Linked DNA regions of Stegostoma tigrinum. The main gene of each other region encodes a partner of the protein of the gene in region 2 in a complex. Links are inferred from orthologs where the notes say so. Each region holds a gene or a part of one and is shown on either strand. Other genes may lie near its edges.

Region 1 (7,985 bases), on a different chromosome or scaffold from region 2:
CACATCCAGTCCTGAAGAAGTGTACTACCTGAAACGTTGACTGCTCCTTTCCTCCAGATGCTGCCTGGCCTGCTGCATTCTTCTAGCCTCCTGTTGGTCTACCTGGATTCCAGCATCTGCAGTTTTTCTTGTCTCTAACTATGTTTACCTCTACCATTTGGTATTCTTACACTGTTGGGGTCAGCAAGTCCTCCTTCGCTGAGTTACTTAGCAGTCTCAATCTTTTTCTTGCAGGGATAAATCTGTACACTAGACCGGTGTCTCTGAGAGCTTCTCCCTCAGGGAGCTATACGTACAATGATTGGTGTCTCTCAGTCATTCACTCTGCAATCAGTCATGTTTCTGGAGGGTTTTGTTTAACTGCTGAATGTTTGGATGTAAGACTCTGCACCATTTTATGTGTCACCTGAAAACAGATGGTTTGAAATATTGATCAATTGTCAGAACACATTAGTGACTTCAGCTTTCCTGAAAGCAAACCCTGTCATGTGACAACCCCCCTCCATCTCAATCAAATTCCTTCCTAACTCAAAACAAACGCCAGTTAATTTTTTAAAAATGAAGAAGTGCATATGTAGCAAATCAGAAACAAGACAAAATTGCTGAAAAAACTCAGCTGGTCTGGCAACATCTGTGGAGAGAAAGCAGAGTTAATGTTGTTAGACCTGCTGAGTTTTTCCAGCAATTTCTGATTAATTGAAGCTGCATACCTCAATCACCTGTTCTTGACCTGTTAGCGTGTTGATAATACGGATATCTCTTGTTTTTTCAGTTAAATATCCAACCTCATACTTTGGATCCTTCCACCATGGCGTCCCAAAGGCATTAGACCAATCACTCATTGGCATGAGGGGTGGAATGTGAGCAAAGCGTCCACGAGGAGTATGGTACTTCTGGCAATTGGCGAGCTGGTCAATCTTGATGCGAATCTACGTTGGGAATGAAGAGATTCCTGTTCATTGCTCCATTATTATGGTACATAGTGCTGCTTGCTATTTTGTGGCCTGTTCCCCCTCCTCTCCAGCTGACAATTTTACACAAGACTAAGTTATATCTGTGCCCAGAGTCCTTCAATGCTCCTAGTCCAGCTCTGTGGCTTAGTGGTGGGTGGTGGTAGTGGTTGGGGGGGGGGGGTTCATTTCTGTCAGGAGGATCGGGTCACAGAGACTTATAGGATTACAGAACAGTGACAGCAGAAGGCCATTCAGCTTATTGTACTGTGCTGGTCTTCTACACAAGCAATCCTGCTAGACCCCCTCCCCTATCTTTACCCTAAGATGTCCAAATCTTTCCTTTTCAGAAAATGTTTCAAATTTCTTTCGAAAACCTCACCTGAAATTGTCTCTACCACTGTCAGGCAGCACATTCAAATCCTATCCACTCACTGTGTGGAAAAGGTATTCCTCTTGTCACAATTGCTTCTTTCACCAACCACTTGAAACTTGTACCCTCTTGTTATTGATACCTCCTCCAATGAGAAAAGTTTCTCTCTATCCTCTTGATTAAATCTTCTATTAGCCCTTTCTTCTCTATATTTTTCCAATCTCCCTTCGTCACAGAGATTCCTCATTCCTAGAACCATTTTTGCCCTTTCTCACTAAAGCCTTTAAATCCTTCTTAAGTGCAGCTCCCTGAATTGAAATCTGGTTGAGACTGATGTTGTGTTCCATACAGGTTATTATCACAATTTCCTTGCATTGAAGGAATATGAGAAAATTCCTCATTGCCTCCAAAACACCAAAACTCGGCCCTCAGCTGACTGAGGAGAAGAGGATCCAAAGACTAAAATTTCAAACCAGACTAAGGTCAAATTTTATTGGGCAGCAATGATCTCCAGGCTCCCATATGCTTTGGCGACTTGCACAGCATACAGCCAGCACCTCACAAGACTGGAGAAGCACCACCAGCATGGCCTTCATAAGAGTCTCCAAAACCTGTGGTGACACTGGGAATCCAGCAGCACACTGAGGCATTAATTAGTCCAAACCAGCTCCCGTAGGTAGGACATGCCATTTATATCTTTGGCAGCTGACTCTGGAAATCACTACACTATTCGGAGCAGCAGAAATGCTTTAGGGTGGTCCTCAAAGCCTCCCCAAAGTGGTTATACATTCCCTCCACCATAGCCTTTCTTCACCTGGCGTGCGACCAACCGAAATGGGGCAGATTCAGTTGGGAAGGCGCTAATACGCTGAGAGGGTTCATTGGGAATGTCAGATGCCATGCACAAACTTCACAACAACCCAAAATGTTCAACCCAATAGGTGCACATCTAAATACTTCTTCAACGTAATGATGGTTTCTGTCTCTACCACCTTTAGAAGCACTGAGTTCTAGATTCCCACCACTCTGTGGGTGAAAATCTTTCTCCTTACATGTCATCAAAGCCCTTACCTTAAATCCTCCCTGGGCATTGATCCCTCCATCAAGGGGAAAAGTTTCTTCCTGTCTACCTTATCTACGCCCCTCATAATTTTATACACCTCAATCATGTCCCCTCTCAATCTCCTCTGCTCAAAACAGAATAGTCCCAGTGTGTCCAATCTCTCTTCATAACTGAGACTCTCCAGCGCAGGCAACAACCTGGTAAATCTCCTCTTCACCTTCTCCAGTGCTATTATATTTCTTCTGTAAAGCAAATTCCAGAGCTTCGCACAGTACTCTAGCTTTACCAATGTTTTATACAGTTCTTTTTAAAGCACAGGAACCTGGTCAACATTTTGTGTTAGATTGATTCCATCAGAGAGATAAACCAGGGAATTTGCATGCTTTGATTAAATCATTAAGTTCTGTAACAACGCAGTAGTGGATTTTGAGAATCAATGTACTTTCCCAAGTATGCTAAACGCCAGGTTAAATATGGATAGGGCGATGCTGGGTACTGTAGTCCCTGGTCAGATGGTGAATTATTAAAATTGTTGCTAAAATGCTTTGGTTGATGCTCATTGTCTTCAGTTTCATTTCCCCTGGCAGCTGAGATTCCATACTTACATCTTTACGCTTCTCATCAAACCAGTGGCTGATATCATGTCCAGCTGCTTCTAAAATGGGTTTCAGTAGAATGTCACCTGGATAAGAGGGAGAATACAGAATCAGCACAGCCTGGATATAGCACAAAAGATACTGTCTGCCAGCTATATCTTCTGAAAGGTATCTACAGATGTAAATGAAGTGCTTTCCATGCCATCAATTTTGAACCCCGAATGGCCAATTAAACCAGGGCCAACAGGGAGGAAAGATGCAAAATTTCGAGGTCATCACTAAAAGAAGATTTGTATTGACATAGCGCCGTTCATGACCATTGGAGTCACAGGGTCGTACAGCCCCCCGGCAGATCAAAGTAATTTTCAATCAATAAAATATTTTACAGTACATTGTTGTTGTTATGCCAGAATCACGTCATCTCATTTGTGCACAAGAACGTTCCACAGACAGGAATGTGATAATGGCCAGATAATTATTTTTTAAACTATGTTGGCTGGAGAATGAATGTTTGCCACAGGTCTCTAGGGAGAGTCCCGTCCCTCCCCTCCTCACAGCTCTGCTTTGAAATAGCAGCCACAGGATCTTTTTCAAGGGCAGATGGGGCCAACTCCCATTTCCCCACCACCCACTAACCTAAACTGCCTGCTGGTCCAGATTTTAAAATTCTCACTCATTGTTTTCAAATCCCTTTATGGTTTCGTGCCTTCTCTGTAACTTTGCCACTCTCTTCACCCCTTCCCATCTCTGTAAAGTCCTCCAGCCCCTACCTCCCTCCCAAACTCTGTGACCCCCTCGAGTCCAAAATTTCTACACTCCAACAACCAATACAACCCTTTCGTGCATCCCCCGAATCCCAGTACTCCACAACTGGAGGCTGTGCCCTCAGCTACTGGACCCCAAACTGTGGCATTCCCTCCTTAATCCTCTCGGGGCTTTGGTCACCGGCTGTAATCTTTCCTTGTGGTTTAGGCATAGAACCACATAGGTTCAGTAATTGCTCGCCTGAAAGTTGTTCCTTTGACCACAAGAAGGGCTCAAGTTGTCGTTGTGGAGGTTGATGCCGGGCTGAGTGATGAAGGTGGTGCTTCACAGTGCCAGGGATGCAGGTTTGATTCCACCCTCGGGTGACTGTCTATGTGGAGGTTGCACATTCTCTCTGTGTCTTTGTGGGTCCCCTCTGGGTGCTCCGGATTCCTCCTACTGTCCAAAGATGCAATGGTTAGGGTGGATTGGCTGTGCTAAATTTCCCAGAGTGTCCAGAGATGGACAGATTTGGGTGAATTAGCCACAGGTATTGCAGGATTACAGTGACAGGGTGGGATGCTTTTTGGAGGGTCGGTATGGACTTGTTGGGCCGAATAGCCTGCTTCCACACTGTAGAGATTCTGAGCTCTTCACCTTTAAACTGTTCGGCTAAAGGGGTCAGGTCATAGACTTTTCCCAAATAGGAGACCCACAAATCATTCATGGTGTTATGGACAGCCACTTCCCGACTGCTGTAGTAGCGGGAGTGCAGCATGGTCGTGGGGTGCTTCGCTCCTCCTGCTACTGCTGCCTCCTCCGTCGCCATGGTGATAGTAACAGGAAGTGGCTCGGGGTACAACTTCCGGTCCTCGGAACTACATCTCCCAGGGGGAAGCGGAAAAGCTGGGTTTTTTTTCACCAAAAAAACCGCTGGATTTTTAATGCGACGCCGCCGCTGCAGCTTTTCCTTCACAGCTGCTTTTCGTGAGTAATTTTGCAGCGCGGGGACTGCGCGGTGCATGAGGCTCGGTTTGAGGCAGGAGAAAGCGGCAATCTGTGCACTTCTATCGTTTTCTTTTAACATGCCTTAAAATGGCGGCCGGAGCTGAGCGTGGCCTCGCCTTGAGGGGGTGGAGGGACAGGGACAGGGACAGGGACAGGACGCGGGAATGGTGAGGGAGGTGAGGTGTTGGTTGGGGGATGGTGCCCAGAGCCGGGGGGGGGGGGGGGGGGGGGGTGATTGTGGTGCCCAGAGCCTGGGGGGGTGATTGGGGTGCCCAGAGACCGGGGGATGGGTTGCCGGGGGCAGGGGTACCGGGGTGGGGGGCATGGTTGCAGGGGGCTGGGATATGAGGGGGGGAGGGGAAGGACATGGTTGAGGGGGCAGAGATACCGGGGGGACCTGGTTGGGGGGGGGGGCAGAGATATGGGAGGGGCATGGTTGGCAGGGGCAGAGATACAGGGTGGGATGGTGAGGGGGGGAATAGAGAGGGGGTGGTGGGGGGAATGGTGAGGGAGGTGGAGGGGTGGGCAGAGAGATGGTTGGGGTGGGGAATTGTTGGGCGGGTGCAGAAAGATGGTCCCGGTGGGTGGGGACAGAGAGACAATGGAGGGGGAATGGTGAGGAGGTGTACAGGGAGACGGTGGTGAGGGGGTAATAGAGAAATGGTGAGAGGGGAACGTGGACACAGTTGGGGGGGGTGAATGGTGAGGGCGTGACAGAGATGGTGGTGGGGAATGGCAAGGAGGTGGAGCCGTGAGGGGGCACAGAGACACGGTGTGGGGGAGTGGTTGGGGGCTAGAGAGATAGTAGGGGTAGGGCGGGACAGAGAGAGACAATTGGGGGGAATAGTGAGGGGGGGGTGTACAGAGAGATGGTGATGGGCAGTGGTGAGGGGGGGGTACAGAGAAATGATGAGGGGGGGGACAGGGACATACTGAGGGGGGTGAATGGCGAGGCGGGGGGCGGTTCCAGAGAGATGGCAGAAGGGGGAATGGTGAGGGGGGTGACAGAGAGACTGGAGGGAGTTTGCTGAGGTTGGGGGTACAGAGACATAGAAGGGGGAATGGCGAGGAGGGGTTTGGCAGAGAAGCGGGAATGGCGAGTGGCGGCCAGACGGCGGGGGGGAATGGGGGGGGACAGAGATGGGGTGGGAGGGTGGGTGGCGACAGAGACAGTGGGGACATGGGGTGGGGAGTATGGTGGGGGTTGTACAGAGAGACGGTGGGGGAGGAATGGAGATGGTGAGGGGGCAGAGAGACTCTTGCGGGGGGGTAAGGGAAATGCGGAGGGAGTTGGGTGTCGTGGAGACGGTGGTGGGGTGGTCAGGGAGACAGGAAGGAGATGGGGTGGCGGGGGTGGGGGGAGTCGTCTTGGGGAGAGGAGAGAGACAGCAAAGGTGATAAATGAAATAACTCCATAAAGGCTGATATCCCGTCACCAAGTCACCCTTTTTATATGTATGTGTACAGCACTGTACGCTGACCCAGCGTGCTCAAAGCCAGCTCCAAGAATGACCAGGTCCCGACCCAAAACATCAACTTTCCTGCTTTTCTGCTGCCTGGCATCTCTCACACTCCTGTATATGTCTGTCATCCAGGCTCTTGATTGGATCAGGTTAACAGTGCCAAGGTTTTACATTAGATTTGTAGGTTGGGTTGTGGATGCTGTGGTTGGTTGGCTTGCTGAGCTGGTTTGTTGTTTTTCCACAGACATTTCATTACCCTACTGGGTAATATTATAAATGCAGCTTCCAATGAAGCACAGAGATAATGGGAACTGCAGATGCTGGAGATTCCAAGATAATAAAATGTGAGGCTGGATGAACACAGCAGGCCAAGCAGCATCTCTGATGAAGGGTCTAGGCCCGAAACGTCAGCTTTTGTGCTCCTGAGATGCTGCTTGGCCTGCTGTGTTCATCCAGCCTCACATTTTATTATCCAATGAAGCACAGTTGTGTTTTCCCACCTGTTGTTTAAACTGTCGGGTCCACTGAGGTGGATTACCTCACTTCTGAGTTTTCCTTCGCTATGGAGTATAGAAGAGATCTAGTTCTATGTGTCTGTTGATGACTTTCTTGGTGGAGTTCCAGGCTTCTAGGAATTCCCGTGCTTGTCTCTGCTCTGCTTGTCCCACACTCTCCGACACACTTGTCACGGTACCTTACGCATCGGAACTAACCACAAGACTGAATGACCACTGGGCATCAGAGTAGCACACAAACCCACATCAACTCTACGACAATTGCTCAATCGAGCGAAAGACCCATTACCCACAATGGACAGGACCAGTGTCATATACAAGATTCCCTGCAGAGACTGTGACAAACACTACGTCGGACAAACAGGAAGGAAATTAATTTGGGTGCATGAACACCAATTGGCTACAAAAGGACATGACCAATACTCACTTATCTCTCTCCGCATGAATAAGGAGAACCACCAATTTGACTGGGACAGCATCAAGATCCTGAGACAAGCAAAGCAGGGACAAACACGGAAATTCCTAGAAGCCTGGTACTCCATGAAGAAAGCCATCAAAAAACACATAGAGCTTGACCCCATAGACACACCACTGTGAAGAAAATCCAGAAGTGAGGCAATCCAGCTCAACAGACTCCAGAGTTTAGATAATAGGCGGGAAATCACAATGGCGCTTCGTTAGAGGCTGCACCGACGATATTACCTAGCAGGGTAATGAAACGTCTGCGGAACAACAACGAGCCAGCTCGGCGAGCCAACCAACTACAACATTAACAGCCCCAGTCAGGGAACTATTTTATCAGGTCCACCTGGCTGACCTCATTCAAATCAGTAAGCTGAGGGGAGAGAGAGATGATGGAAAGATGGCAGGAACTGAGGTGTGATGGAATTACTGGGGCATGGGGGTGAGTGGTAGTGGAGTGTGAATGGGGGAGATGGGCTGGAGGGCTTTCTGGTTTGTGTTGGGGAGATCGGCAGGGGGATTGATCACATTGGCATGTGATGGGGGAGTTGGGCAGAAGGACGTAATGGGGTGTGATCATGAAGATGGGACGGGGTAAGGTGGAAATTGGACCAGAGTATGATGAGGCAGACCTGGCAATGATTGGACATGCAAAGGAGTGAGAGAAGGTGAAGGAAATAGGACAGGATGAAACCAAGGGATTGGGTGAGTTGGAGAGGGCAGGAAGAGGGAGGGAACTGGGAGAGATGGTGGTGGGAACGGGTTGGCAGGACCTTGGAAGATGGTGGAGAAGGCAGGGAGGGAGGGGTGG
Region 2 (7,298 bases):
TTTGTCTCCACAAAGACTGTGTGGTGGTCACTCTTAATGATACTGTCATGGGCAGAAGCATCCGCAGTTGGCAGATTGGTAAGAATAAATTGAAGCACATTTTTCCCTCTTGTTGGTTCCCTCACCATCTGCCAAAAACCCAGTCTAGCAGCTAAGGCTTTAGGACCTGAATGGCTTGATCAGTAGTGCTGACAAGCCACTCTCCTCCAAACAGGGTACATTTTGCATCTTTGCCACCATCAGTACTTCCTCCAGACCCAACCCGAAACATCAACTTTCCTGCTCCTCTGATGCTTCCTGACCTGCAGTATTCCCCCAACTCTACACTGTATTGTCTCTGACTACAGTTCTTGCTATTTCTTCCTCCAAGTGTTGTTCAACATGGAGGAGTAGTGATTCATCAGCTGACTGAGGACAATGCATGGTAATCAGGAGGTTTCCTTGCCCATGTTTAACCTGAAGGCATGAAGCTTCCTAGTGTTCACCGACATTGTTGAAGACTTTTAGGGCAATTCCCTCCTGACTGTATACCACTGTGTCACCACCTCCACTACATCTGTCCTGCTGGTGGGACGAGGCATATCCAGTGATGGTGGCGTTTGGGACACTGTCTGTAAGGTATGATTCCATGAATATGACTTCATGAGGCTGTCACTTGGCTAGTCTATGAGATAGCTCTTCCAATTTTGGCACTTACCCCCAGCTTATAATAAGGAGGATATTGAAGGATCAACAGGGCTATTATCTTTTCCAGTACCTACATCAATGCCAGGTGGTCTTTTTGGTTTCATTTCTTTGTTGAGACTGTCTAGCAATTGATACAACTGAGTGGCTTGCTAGGCCATTTCAGAGGGCAACTGAGAATTAATCACAGTGCCATGGGTTTGGAGTCATACATAGGCTAGACCAGGTGGGAGATTATAGATTTCCTTCCCTGATGGACATTAGTGAGCATTATGCAAATAAATTGTGTTGAGGTAGAAGATTAGCCATGATCTCATTGAATCATGGACTGGGTTCAAAGCACTGCCCTACTCCTGTGCATCTTTTTTCATATCTGGTAAACATGAAAAGCACACTACAGAAATACTGTGATGCTTTAAAGGTCTGAGAGTCATTGAAAGATAAACATTTCTATCATGGACTCTGAAAGCTGTGTTTGAACTTCACTTTGAAATTCCACATACAGCACTTAGATACAACATCTTTATCACTCGGTCATCACAGCTGGGTAAAAGCACCCAGAACTATATTACTACCAACAGCCATATTCCGTAGAGTGTTGGTGTAATGTCACAATCTTTTTCACCCCAATTCTCACTGTGGCAGAATGTGTAGTGTTTCAGTTTGTGAAGATTCCAGCCTGTATGATATCATGGAACTTTCAGAAAGAAGCTAAATTTGAGTAGGTTATTATTATGAATGTAGTTGTGAGGGTTACCAGACCTTTAAGAGAGCTGGTCAGGTGACCCAGAGGAACAAATATTGAGTACAGTCCTGAACTGGTTGTAGAGGTGTGAGCATCATCAACAAAGTGTTCCTATTCAGATTTACCACTCATTTACCATGTGTATAATCCCTAATTCCAAAGGAAGCACCAATATAACAGATATTCAATAAGCCTTTAAAGGCTCAGAGTGAAAGGCTTCAGGAGGTTGAAAAAATGTTATATGGAGTGATCGGTGTAATTCCTTGCACTTTTCTTCATCAGACTTGTCACCTTATAAAGGCCATGACACCAGTGACTCTTGATGGGCAGAAACTTCACCAAAACTCAGGAAGGAGCTCCACCAGGGGAGGTGACTGAAGAAACTTTGCAATGATACTCCCTGTGCAAGACAGTGACAAGTGTAGTTAGCTCACTGTGGCTTGTCTCCTTTCTTGAATACAGTTGTGATAAGTGATTCTCAGAATACTTGTTATGTGCTATTTTTCCCAAATGAAGGACACAAGATTATGCAGTCATGCCAAGCGTCTCAGAATTTCAGCAAGGATTCCATCTGCCCAAGGAATTTTCATGTTCATGTTCTTTAGCTGTTGGATGGTTTTCTTTAAAAAAAAGCCTTTCAGTTCTGAAAAAGAGTCATGCCAGACTCAAAATGTTAACTGTATTTTTCTCTCTTGACACACGCTGCCATACCTGGAGAGTTTCTTGAGCATTATCTATGTTTGTTTTAAATATGTCTTCTTAGCATTTTCACAATCAGTGGCTGTAAGTATTAATGCACATGTAAGTTTGTATCCTGTGTTCCTTCCAGGCATATTCTGGTAATCATTGCCCCATTTCTAAACTGCTTTATTATCTTGTTATTTCCCTCTAATTTAAGTGAGAGGAGATGAAATGAATTGGCGTGATCATGATAATTTGCAGGGATTCCAACATTATCCCAATTAAACTGATGGACACTGAGACAATGAAAGCCATCAAAATGACTGGGGCAATGTGACCATCCTAGCTTAAGCCAACCACAGACAAGCATGGGAATTCCTAGGGGCCTGGTTTTCAACTGGTAAGGCAATCAACAAACATATGGAATTAGACCCCATACAAAAACCCATGCAGAACAGAATCAGAAATCAGACAACCCAACTTCACAGTCCTGATCATATAAATAACAAGCAGAGTAGAACAATATCACTTTATCAGAGGCCACACTGATTACTTTACCTAGCATCGTGATGAAACATCTGTATAATAACTAGCCAGCTTGGCAAGCAAGCCAACAACTTCATCCACAACCCAGGCTACAGATCTTCACAAGAGGTTAATATTGTTCCTAAGGCAGATTTCAAGGTCCCTTATGTATGTATTAAATCCCGCAGCTGATCATATGCAATATTGACACAAGCTAACACATGCATGATAAACATAAATCCAATTCGACTGGCCTGCATGAGGTAGATTGTTGATCGTAGGGCAACGAAGGATTATGTGGATAAGGTAGAAAAAGTGGAGGTGATGGATGTTGGATCAACTCTGACCCTACTGAATGGCAGCTCAGGCTCAAAGGGCCGAATGGCCTGCTCCTACTTCTTATTTATGGTCTTACTAATTGGTGATCCTGTCCTCAGAATTTAAAACAGCATTCTGGAGACCCTCCTCCCCAGATTGCACAAATATTAAAGTAAAACACAAGTATAAAAGCAATTTATCCACAGAATAAATTTAGGGTAATTCTCTGATTGATCCCATCAAAAATAGGAATGGGGATACAAAAGGCAAGAAACTAAGAACAAAAAAAAGACTGAGATAACAAAGTGTCGAACTGTATGAACACAGCAGGCCACGCAGCATCAGAGGAGCAGCAAAGTTGACGTTTCGGGTCTGAACTCTTCTTCAAAAAAAAAGACTATTCTTTTCTAATGGCTGAAATAGTTGTAAAATAATGGCACAACAAGGCTGACCAATTTTACTATCTACAACAATGTAAAACAAACTTAATTCTGTTCTACCTGATGCTGCCAGACCTGCAGGTCTTCATCAGCACTTTACTTTCGTCACTTCCCACAAGGTGGGTATTCCTTAACTGCGAATATGCGCTGGGTCTCGTATGAGCGCCCATGAGAATTTAGAATTTAATATAAGAACAAAAGCGCAAAGTGGCAGACAATCACAGGGCAATCGCACAGTGCCTACAAAAAAAATATTTTCTGCCGAGTTGCCAGCATCAATATGCAGCAGATGGAAACCATCGTTCGTGAAACTTTCAGCTGAATCAAATAAGAGTCCAGATCCATTGCACAAGGAGAACGGTGAGCAATCCCAATATCCTAACCCATTGAAATACTGATCAGCTCAGACAGCGACGCGGCTTGTTGTTGTGACCACACTTACTTTCATTGGCAGGGAATCCCTCAGGCTGTCAAAGGCACTTTACACATACAGTCTCTTTCTCTCATACTGATCTCGATGGATGAGTAATCTCCTGACAGACTCCAGAACGTCCAAGTAAAGGCTATGATAGCAATTAACACCATTAACCATTTACCTCCCCGGCTCTTCCGGTCCCCCCACCCCCACCCCCACCACCACAACCACGGCTGCCGGGGAGAATTCCGTTGCAGGAAATGGTCAAATTCACATTCCGCAGACTCGAGCTGGTCCTCGCGATAATTCGCTATTTGTGGCGCCGATGGGATTTGTAGTTCCAGGGAAATTTTCCAGACATGGCGTGGACGTTATTCCTGCCCAGGTCAGGACTACAGTTCCCAAAATGCGAAGCGCAGCGGCAGCCGAATGACGAACTTGAAGTATGGTTTCGGCTACCCAGGTCACGGTGATGTGCTGAAGGTAGCTTCACTCTCAAGGTAAGGAGAGAGGATGAAACGGTGCAATCTTCTGTAGGGAGAAGTAGTCATTCAGTTAGATATGCTTCATTCCGCGTACCTCCTCGAAAAATCATGTATGGAAATTTGAGCAACTGGTGACAATTTTCATCCACCTTCGACTTTACACGTATGGCCTCTGCAATGGATTAATAGTTGCATGAACGTGATTTAAAGAAAACCATAAAATATAGGAGCAAGATTGGGCCGTTCCGCCTAAGGAGTCGTCTTCGCCATTCTACTATGGTTGACATGTTTTTCAACCCCATTTTCCAGCCTTCCCCCTATAACCTTTGATCCCTTAACCAATCAAAAACCTATCTATTTCTGCCTAAACGCAGTCAAAAACAGCCTCCACAGCCTTCTGCGACAAGGAGGTCCACAGATTCACTATTTTCTGGCTAGAAATTTCACCATCCTCAGTTCAAACAATCATTTCTTCACTCAGAGGCTGTGCCCTTGGCTCCCGTTCTCTTCAATAGTCGAAACGTCTTCGTCATGGCCCCTCTTTCCAGGTTTGTCAGTAGCCTATAAGTTTTTCAATGAGATTCCGCCTCATTCGTCTAAATTCCATTCAGTAGAGACCCAGAGTCATAAACTGCTCCTCATAATGACAAGCCCTTCACCCCCAGGATCGTTCTTATAAACATCCTCTGATGTGGGAGGGGATCCAGCATATCCAACCTTTGATACAGGACTCAGAACTGCTTACAATATTCCAAATGCAGTCAGACCAGAGCCTGAGTGGTACATCTTGCTGTTGTATTCTAGTCCTCTTGAAATGAAAGCTAATATTTCATTGACCTTCCTAACCGCCAACTGAACCTGCATGTTAATTTTGAGAATCCTGATCTTTTACTGAAGCCGTTCCCTACTTAGAAAATAGACCACACCTCTATTCTTCCTACAAAAGTGCATAAACTCTCTTTCCCATATTCCATTCCATCTGCCACTTTGTTGTGCACTCACTTAGCCTGTCCAAGTCCTTTTGTAGTCTCCCTGCCTCCGTAACACTACTTGTACCCCCACCTATTTTTGTATCATCTGAAAACTGAGCAACAATGCCATCAGTTCCTCCTTCCAAATAATTGGAATGTATAACATGATTACTTATGGTTCCAACACTGATCCCTGTGGAGCTCCACTAGACGCTTGCTACCATCCTGAAAAAGACCTCTTTATCTCCATTCTCTGCTTCTGCCAATCACCCAATCTCTATCCAGGCCTCGAACACCACAAGCCCTTGTAGGTGAGTCTTCTGCACCGAAGGTAGGGGCTAATACCACTGCACCAAATGAGCCCCTCCATGGATGTTGTTATAAATGAATTTTCAGACCAAATTCGATAAGGTATCACCGTAATAGGTAGTTACTCATGATTAGAACACATGAGTTAATGGATAATGCATCAACATAGATTGGTTAACAGACAGAGATTAGTAAAAGCAAATCACTTTTAGAATGGCAATTTGTAACTGGTGAAATGTTTCCAAGTGTGAAGTGTTTAATATCTGTTGAATTATATTGCTTAAGAATGGGATAATTGACTCTTATCAGCCGGCTTGTTTTTTGAAGAGAATATCAATTGCTGAATGGTGAGAAGAGATGCCACTGCTGATCCTGATAGTATTGTTATGGTCTAAGACGCTGGAACAGGGAAGTGGTAACAGAATCTGGGGAAAAGAACATTTTAATTTGGTTTGTAGCATACTCCATTGGGCAAAGGAGAAAAGAGGGTCATCAATAATGATAAGCGAAAACTTTCACAAGTTCTATAATGGGGAGAAAGTGAGAAGCCATCTTCATCCAGAAGCAATGTGTGCCTGTAGAATTTTCATGAAATCTGATACATAGACATGGGAGGAAAGAAGTAAGAGGCCAAAGAGTTGCAAAATGTGGCCATTCCCCATTAATCTGTTTTGAGGCAGATGGAACTACTCGGGAGAAATTTTCATTCTTCCCATTGTGATGGTGGAGGATTGGGCAAGTTTGATTTCAGGTGTGTTGAATGAAGACCTCTCCTTCCCCCTAGCATAATGATTAGAGACAGTAATATTGAGAAACTGCGTCCTTCCAACACAGACCCAATCAGCCATGTCTTCCCAGCTTATCAATTCTGTATCTGCCTATCTATTGCTGTAATTAATAAAACAACAGTGCTTTCTCCGTGATAGTTGATACTGTCCTTGGAGGTCTCAGGAAAAGGTTGAAAATCTTTGTTATTACTGAGCCCTGTAGTGAAGACAAATCTTCGATTTGTGTAAAGGCTTCCAGTCAACAGGAAACAGAAAAATCTCCTCTGCTGAAGAATCTAACCCAATTTATCTTGTATGGTTTGATGTCCACAGTTATCATGGTCACTAAAGCATCTTTGGACGAAGACGATATTGGCTGGGGACTTGGTATCTCAGAAAAGATGGAAAAAATTAATGCAAACTGGGTTGACATTACCAAGCAATTCAAGGATTGCTGTAAAGGTAAATTTATAGATATTTTGTGCAATTTTCTTGTTGCTTATGAAGCTAGTGGAAGCATGGGTCCTTGAATATTTTTATGGCAGAGGTAGATAGATTCTTGTTAAGAAAAAGGGTGAAAGAATATCAGAAGTGGGTGGGAATGCAAATTTTGAGGTTGTGATCAGACCAGCCACAACCCTGTTGAATGACAGTGCAAGCTTGAGGGGCTGAATGGACTACATCTGCTCTTAATTCATATGTTTACTGAGAGTCTCCAAGCCACAACCCTGTTGAATGACAGTGCAGGCTTGAGGGGCTGAATGGACTACATCTGTTCTTAATTCATATGTTTACTGACAGTCTCCAAGAATCCATAAACGTAGAGTAAATATATTCTGTTTTTTTTTCCCCAACTACGGAACCTTTTCCAAATTTCTGCTTCTGTCCTTTTTAGCTCCCAAAATCTTTGTTTATTTTGGAGATCTTGGGAATGTGAGCATCACTAACATGGCACACA
Region 3 (7,175 bases), on a different chromosome or scaffold from region 2:
CTAACCTGTTCTTCCTCTCACCCATCCCTTCCTCCCACCCCAAGTCGCACCTCCATTTCCTACCTAACCTCATCCCACCTCCTTGACCTGTCCGTCTTCCCTGGACTGACCTATCCCCTCCCCACCTCCCCACCTATACTCTCCTCTCCACCTATCTTCTTTTCTCTCCATCTTCGGTCCGCCTCCCCCTCTCTCCCTATTTATTCCAGAACCCTCACCTCATCCCCCTCTCTGACGAAGGTTCTAGGCCCGAAACGTCAGCTTTTGTGCTCCTGAGATGCTGCTTGGCCTGCTGTGTTCATCCCGCTTCACACTTCATTATCTTGGATTTTCCAGCATCTGCCGTTCCCATTATCACTTCATCTCTATCCGGATTGCTTCTATATACTAATTTCCTGAGCTTAAGTCATCCCTCTCTTTTGTGTTAATATCATCTTTTTCAAGTTATTTCCTAACTTCCTGACCTTCCTAAATGTCATACAGCCTTCAATATTGAGGTCCCACTCCAGGTCATCCTGCAGCCACATCTCAATTATGACTGCTGGATTGTACACGTCTCAGTTTGTACTAGTTCATCTGTTTTATTGTGAATGATACATGCATTGAAATACAGTGTTTTAAGTCTTGTCCTGTTATTATCTTCAGTCTTAGCCGACAATCTGCTCTTGGATCTGCACTCTGTCCTTTCCTGTCATTGTTTGTTTATCATTTCCCACATCAATTCCTTCCTTTGTTGCCTTCCCTTTTTCCTCAATTCATAACTTCCCAAATACAACAGTTCCTGTACAGTTCAGTTGTAGATCCCTAATGGTACAGATCCCATTTTCTTCATTTGATCTACCCTTATACCAATTAATCTAAATTTTGAGTAAGATTTGTGTGTGTGAAGACCTATAATGATTAACATTTAAATATTTCTGCAGCCACAATGATCAGTATTAGAGACAGAGCACTTGGAAGCTAGTGGGGACTTGGTTCCATTGGGAGAATTATACGAGCACAGAATAAATTGTGCAGTGCATTAAACTTCAGTTAGAAGATTCTAGAAACTGGATGTTCTTTCCTTGGAAAAGCTTTTTAGTTTCAATTCAAGGTTTGGAGAAGTTTTGGCTGAAGTTGGACGTATAAGGCCGTTTCTCCTGATAAAGAAAAATAGCTTATTTCTTAATAGTTCTAAACTATCTGAATGTGAAGAGTTTATCTTTTAGGTTTCAGACCAGAAACATTAATTTAAAATCCTGAAGAGGTTATCAGAAAGTCTAAGCTAAGTTTTATGAAGAGTCAACTAAAAAGCTATCAGATTCTGAGGACAGGGAATTGAATCCACAATTTTCTTAAGCCCTACGGATGTGCCATAGAAGGGATTTCTCTTCAGTGAGAGACTGATTTATACTATCTTCATTTCTTTGCATAAATACTCCTATTTTATTGTTAAAACCAAACGTGCAGGGTTGCATGCTTGTGCTTCCATGACAGAACATCTTGGTTAAACCAAAATATGATCTTTCAAGCCAAATTTCAGTCTTGGTTCTGACTTGTGCAGTAGTAACATCAGCTGGGTTCACAGTAACATGAAGTGGAAGAGTTTATAGAAGTAGCGTGACCAAGTACAGTGCTGCTGTCCAAAAGGAATATAAATGGATAGAAGCAAAGTTAGATAAAGGAACAGATATTAAATAGCAAAGAGACATCAGGACATAAGGAGAAAGAGAAGAAATTTTACTGCAAGAAGAGTTAAAGTTGAAAGGAAGAGTAACACACTGCAGACTAACAGAATGACTGCAATGGGCACAAGAATAGAGAATACAGAATTGGGGCTAAAACAGATACAAGCACTCATGGAAGAACAGAGAGACAGCGTGAACTACACAGCAAATAGGACATAAGAGGGAAACAGGACTACTTAATAGATGAAACTCCTGAAACAGAGCGTCATGGAGTAGGGCACAAAATAGACGGTTCAAGAGCTGGCAAAATTGTAGGTAGCAGAGCAGTACATGAGCACTGATAGCTGGTCAGAAGCCCATGGCTCTAAGGCACCAAAGGTATTTCTGAAAAGCAAATTATTAGTCCGCCGGCAAATAACAAGGTTAGCATTGGAGTGGGATTGAGCTCTGGCAGTTGAGGCACAATAAACTGAGCAGAAATTACTGAACACCAAAACAATACATCATTGGATAGTTTGAGAATGGGCCAAAGTAACAATAAATGGAACAACTGAAAAATAAGAATGTCACTTCAAAAATTATTATTCATCATTTTAAATAATTTCATGATTTTCATTATCATTTTTTTTGCCTAAGATAAGCAAGTTTAGATAGTTGAGCTGCTTCAATATACCAGAATTGAAATGCTGAGCCATTCTTAACTCTCTTCATATGGGGTCAGCAGCTCAGTTCGAGCAAATTTGAAACAACATAAACACAGTACAGTTGAACCTGAGACAGTGGCCACAGAAAGCTTGCAACCAGTTACTAAGAAAGTATAAACACATAGACTGTGCTTACTTTGCAAAACACATTTGATGCCATACTTGTTGACCTACATTTTTATAAAGCAAATTATTCCCTCAGGGTGTGTTGTTTATTCTTGAGGATTGCAGCTAACAGGGGAATTATGCATTTCCTGTTAAATGTATTCTTATCATCTAAAAAAAACTTCAGAAATCTCTGAAAAATCAATTGTGGAATAACAAAAGCAGATGAAAGACAGCAATACTCTGCCCGTAACCAAGTAGTCTCCATTAGGGTTATTTCTCCTTGAAAGATATTTGAATGGTAGAGCAGGCTTGAGAGGTTGAATGGCCTTCTCCTAATTAGTGTGTTTGCTAAATCAAATTTTTCAGCCCTGAAAAAAATGTATCCCATTTGAACTTCATTGTTTTCTCCACAAATGCCAAAACAATATAACACCTCAGGCCCAGAACCATCTCTATCTCTGGCCTGTGGTGTATATATACGCACAACATTTTCTTACTGTTTCCTATAAATAAGTGCATTGTGGAAAGGTGTTTCACTGTGAAATGGCATCCTTAAATCTGCACTCATTTAAACTTTACTGGATATAGATTTTAGATTTTAATTAGGCAACGATGTTACCCAGTGGGATATGAGCATAATCCACTGAAATTCATCCTTCCAGTGTTTTAATTAAGCACTTAACACACTTATTATGAATGTTTAGTAGAGAGGGCGCCTTTGAATGAAATCCTGCAAGCTTGCGTCCCACATGTTTCAGCAACAGCGAATGTTTTGATTCCGGTGAATCGGTGTCAAAACCACTTTTTGTCAGGTCACAGTGGTCAGCCCGCATCCGCATATCCAGCACCTATCACTGTTTCACACAATTGGGCTGATACTTTCAACACCAATTGAGGATGCGACAAAAACACCTGGGGTTTATACTGAGAGATAGTAAGAACTGCCGATGAAATCCGATGTGCAAGTTGTATTAGCGTGTTTGGAAAAGGATTCGTTCGGGAGCATTTTAGGCCAGTCCCTTGTATATTTGACAGTTACCCAGCTTCAGCTACAATAGCTGTGAAAATATACACTTAAGGATGACATTTTAAAAGAGAGCAGAATGAAGAAGGGTCTCGACCCGAAACGTCAGCCTTCCTGCTCCTCTGAAGCTGCTTGGAGTGCTGTGTTCATCCAGCTCTACACCTTGTTATCGCAAATAATAAAACACGTGTTTCACTAAAATCAAATAAATTCTAATTTTGGATTTGAGGCTGACAGAAGACACAATAGCTTAACTCACAAACTGCAATATGAAGAAAGCAAAGGCTCAGTGGACACAAAATGGCACTTGCAGCTAGGGAATGATTTAAACAGTTTCCAGAGGCCAAACTCACACTAGAAACAGAAACAGAAACATAATCACTCATCAGGGAGGGAAAGATTACGGCTGCATTTAGCTCAATGATATTTACTCAGAACTACACAAACTCCTATCTTCTCCCCAAGAACACAAGGGCCATTCGCCAAAACCTCACGTCAAATCCTCCTTCCCGACGCACAATCGGCGTCGGTTAAAGGTCAACGTCGTAAAAACAACTTTCAGGGCGAGACGGGAAGCCGCATTTATGACGTAGATGGGGCGGCGGGGCCGCGCGGCAGCCTCACTTTACGGCAGTGCCTAGGTTGAGAGTGGAAACGGCCTCGAGTGGCTGGCTGTATGAGGGAGCAGGCAGTGGCCGGCTTCCTCACTTCGGCAACGAGTTGATTTCTCTCCCCCTCCCCTGCTCCCACCCTGCCTGACTGTGTGGATGTCGGGCCCTGCTTGACAGGTCCCGGTCCTGTGCAGCCTGGCCTGGTGTGGTCCGGCCGGCTGTAGGATGTGTGAGTGCTGAGGGCGGGCGGTGAGTCCCCTCCTGGTTACCCCCCCCCCCCTCCCGCCCCGTTCTCCCGGTTAGATCACTCTCTCTCTCCCCCCGCTGCTTTTGGCCCTCATGCCGACCCTGCGTTTCTCCGCTCTTTAGGATGTCTGATGTACCGCCCGGGCCTAGCGTGCTGTCCCCAGCCCCCAGTGACATCTCGCCCCTCTCCGCTACTCTCAACCACTCGGGAGCGTACGGCAAGGTCCCGGGGCAGCAGCCAGGAGGGGGCGGCGAGCAGGAGGAGGAGGAAGCGACTGCTGTGGACGGGGCTGGCCAGGAACGCGGCGGGGAAGGCGGACCACATTCGGCGAACAGTGTCGGAAACTGCCCGGAGCCTAACCGAGCCAAGAAGGGCGTCCTGCACCTTCACCACCATCATCACCACCACCACCACCACCACCACCAACAGCAGCAGCGGCTGCTCAACGGCTGTGTTATAAACCCTGAGCTCCACTACAAGGCGGAGTGCAAAGGCCGCCTATCCTGCGCTGAGGCCGCCACTGCCGTCGAGTTTCAGTCTGGACTGTCACTCTCCGAAGGAGGCAGGAGGAAAGCCGACGGCAAATATTGTGAGAGTCCCAATGTGAATCATGCGAGCCAAAGGACTGCCGAGGCGGCCGGCCCTGACACACTCAACCCCAGAGATGGACTCGACCGGATTGGTATCGGCCCAGATGACGATGAGCAATACCGCCTGGCCGCCTCGATAGCTGCTTGTAGTTTGCACCCGCAACAAGAGCCCGACTCGAACGACAGGATACGATATGTTGGCTATGAGTCAGAGTTGCAAATGCCAGATATAATGAGATTGATCACGAAAGATTTGTCTGAACCTTATTCCATATATACATATAGATATTTTATTCACAACTGGCCGCAGCTTTGTTTTCTGGTAAGTGTGGTATGTTGGTAGGGGACTATGTAGTATACGTATGTATATCGAGAATAATGCGCTTAATAGAAAAGCCTGTGAAATGTCCCGAATGTAAGACCTTATTTTTTGTAAGCACTGAAAATGAGTTGCCAAGGAAAGGTCACTTTGGCATTTTGCATGCTGATTCCCACACTTTCAGTTGCTATCAATAGTCGTCATGTTAATGAGTAGTTTTATTTTTGTAAGCATCTAGGCTTTGAGAACTTGCGTTGCAAAAGAATGAATTTGCCATGCTATTTATAGTCCTCAATGTGACAAATAACCTTGACTTTGCAGTTCTGATTCATGTGAAAGACTAGATGGAGAGTTCAAAGGCTTGTTCTAAAATCCATTGAAATTGTGGTATATTATTAAACTTAAATTTGCTATACTGACAGACTTTATTTAAGTAGCACTGTTGTTAATGCCACATCGTCTTAGGATGACTTGAATTGCTGTAGCTACTATAGATGAAACTCATAACGTAGAAATTGTTTCACCTCTCGGCCTTTCTGCTTTTACCTGAAACACCACTGTGAACAGTGGAGATGATTTGAATGTTTGTTTTTATTCGGTGCAAAATATTTATAATCTTATTAGACTTCATTGGTGACTACAGCATGGAGACTTTCTTTGAGTTTTTTTAAATTGCAAGCCGAAAATGTGGCACCTCGCTACTTAACCATACTTGTTTCTTTTTAGCATGGCATTATGATTTTCTTGAGAGTTTGATAACTCTTAAAAGCAAATAGAAACTTGCAGTTAATAACATAAATAATGACATAAGTTTTCATATTTAAGACCATTACTTAAGTAAAGATTATTGACAATGTTGATAAATCTTTGTAGAAAAGTGATCTTCTATGCCACAAAACAGAGCATTCCCTGTTTTTCTTTAGCACAACCCAAAACACTGTTTACAGATATCTTTTTGTAAGTATACACTTTTGTAGGTGTATATATTCAGTTCTTCCAGAACCAGTCCAGTGATTTTTTTTTTTAGCTCCTGAAAGTTTACTTCTAATTCTTTCTCAGCCTGGGAACTGTTAAACTCAAGACTTTCTTTCGCAGTGAGCTACATTTCTCATTTTTCCTGTTGTGCCAAGTGAGCCCATTCTTTCAATCTGTTTCGAGTTCCACATGAATTCAGCATTTTTGATCTAAGTGAGAGCCCTCACGTGTTGCTGTGTGTTGAACCTCAGATCTCACTGCCAGTAGCTGCTGTTTCTTTGCAGGATTCTGTCACACTCAAGTTATGCCGTGAGTTGCTTGAGAATATCAGGGAGATATTAGAAACTTACCCAAACAATTCCCCTTGTATTTTCTAAGAGATCATCCTCTGAAAATTTTCAAACCCCAGAATTGAACCCAGAAGGCTTACGGTGCCTGATTGAAAGAGATGCTGATCATCTTGCTCAGAGTTTCGCTGGAACACTAGTAGGCCAAAGGCAGCACTGTAAGCATGAGGGCAAAGTGGAGAATTAAAATGATATGCTATTAAAAACTCAATTATGCTTGCTTGAAGTAAAGAATTTCGCAAAGTAGTTGCTCAAAAAATGTTTGGTCTCCCCAGCACAGATGAAATTGTAATGTGAACAACAAACACCTGTTTACATATTTTCAATATACTGAATTGAAAGTTGTCACATGAATCATCCTGAACCATCAGATTTATGTCAGTAACATTTTTCCAGAGATTCAAGGCAGTTTTCAACCTTCAAAGGTAATCTCAAAACGCTATCTTTGGCACTCAGTAAATCCTAAAAATTTGTGGGCAACAAATTCAGAGGTTTATGTAAGCTTTATTGATCTGTCACAGACCTTCGCCATGAATCATGAAGCTATTTGGAAAGTCCTCCACTGACTTTGTTGTTCAACAAG

Evidence for each region.
Region 1: the proteins of naa35 (region 2) and naa38 are in contact, whole or in part, in a cryo-EM structure (PDB 7MX2), measured with the Homo sapiens proteins. The link is inferred for Stegostoma tigrinum from reciprocal best matches to the Homo sapiens genes NAA35 and NAA38. Residues at the interface, in NP_001308810.1 of Homo sapiens: Val30, Asp31, Ile32, Thr33, Phe36, Ala39, Cys40, Leu43, Leu45, Glu47, Leu48, Leu49, His50, Asp51, Phe54, Glu58, Ala59, Ala62, Ile63, Glu64, Met65, Met66, Ala72, Gly73, Met74, Gln306, Arg307, Leu309, Pro310, Pro311; in NP_001307854.1 of Homo sapiens: Ala41, Arg42, Leu45, Glu46, Leu48, Leu49, Arg61, Phe67, Leu68, Cys69, Thr70, Asp71, Arg72, Cys74, Ile77, Arg97, Val98, Leu99, Gly100, Leu101, Ala102, Met103, Val104, Pro105, His108, Ser111, Ile112, Glu113, Val114.
Region 3: the proteins of naa35 (region 2) and naa30 are in contact, whole or in part, in a cryo-EM structure (PDB 7MX2), measured with the Homo sapiens proteins. The link is inferred for Stegostoma tigrinum from reciprocal best matches to the Homo sapiens genes NAA35 and NAA30. Residues at the interface, in NP_001308810.1 of Homo sapiens: Leu45, Gly46, Leu48, Leu56, Ala59, Met60, Ala62, Glu64, Lys69, Glu121, Phe313, Pro314, Arg315, Ala444, Leu510, Glu511, Leu512, Glu517, Pro605, Lys606, Phe607, Glu608, Leu609, Asp610, Val614, Arg615, His618, Arg619; in NP_001011713.2 of Homo sapiens: Glu221, Pro238, Ser240, Tyr242, Thr243, Arg245, Tyr246, His249, Asn250, Lys304, Ile324, Glu334, Asn335, Leu336, Gly337, Val339, Arg340, Asp341, Lys342, Arg343, Phe345, Arg346, Tyr347, Tyr348, Leu349, Leu359, Trp360, Leu361, Arg362.

What each region holds. Positions count from the first base shown.
Region 1 is NC_081398.1:14,296,578-14,304,562, reverse strand, and holds the start of naa38 (N-alpha-acetyltransferase 38, NatC auxiliary subunit), read left to right. Parts: upstream 1-4,887; 5' UTR 4,888-4,901; intron 4,902-7,985. Other genes in the region: cytochrome b5 domain-containing protein 1, read right to left, coding at 711-929, 2,992-3,068, 4,384-4,813.
Region 2 is NC_081356.1:58,904,686-58,911,983, reverse strand, and holds the start of naa35 (N-alpha-acetyltransferase 35, NatC auxiliary subunit), read left to right. Parts: upstream 1-4,220; 5' UTR 4,221-4,308; intron 4,309-6,673; 5' UTR 6,674-6,678; coding exon 6,679-6,802; intron 6,803-7,298. UniProt on the Homo sapiens protein: Auxillary component of the N-terminal acetyltransferase C (NatC) complex which catalyzes acetylation of N-terminal methionine residues. N-terminal acetylation protects proteins from ubiquitination and degradation by the N-end rule pathway.
Region 3 is NC_081363.1:49,433,245-49,440,419, forward strand, and holds the start of naa30 (N-alpha-acetyltransferase 30), read left to right. Parts: upstream 1-4,114; 5' UTR 4,115-4,484; coding exon 4,485-5,273; intron 5,274-7,175. UniProt on the Homo sapiens protein: Catalytic subunit of the N-terminal acetyltransferase C (NatC) complex. Catalyzes acetylation of the N-terminal methionine residues of peptides beginning with Met-Leu-Ala and Met-Leu-Gly.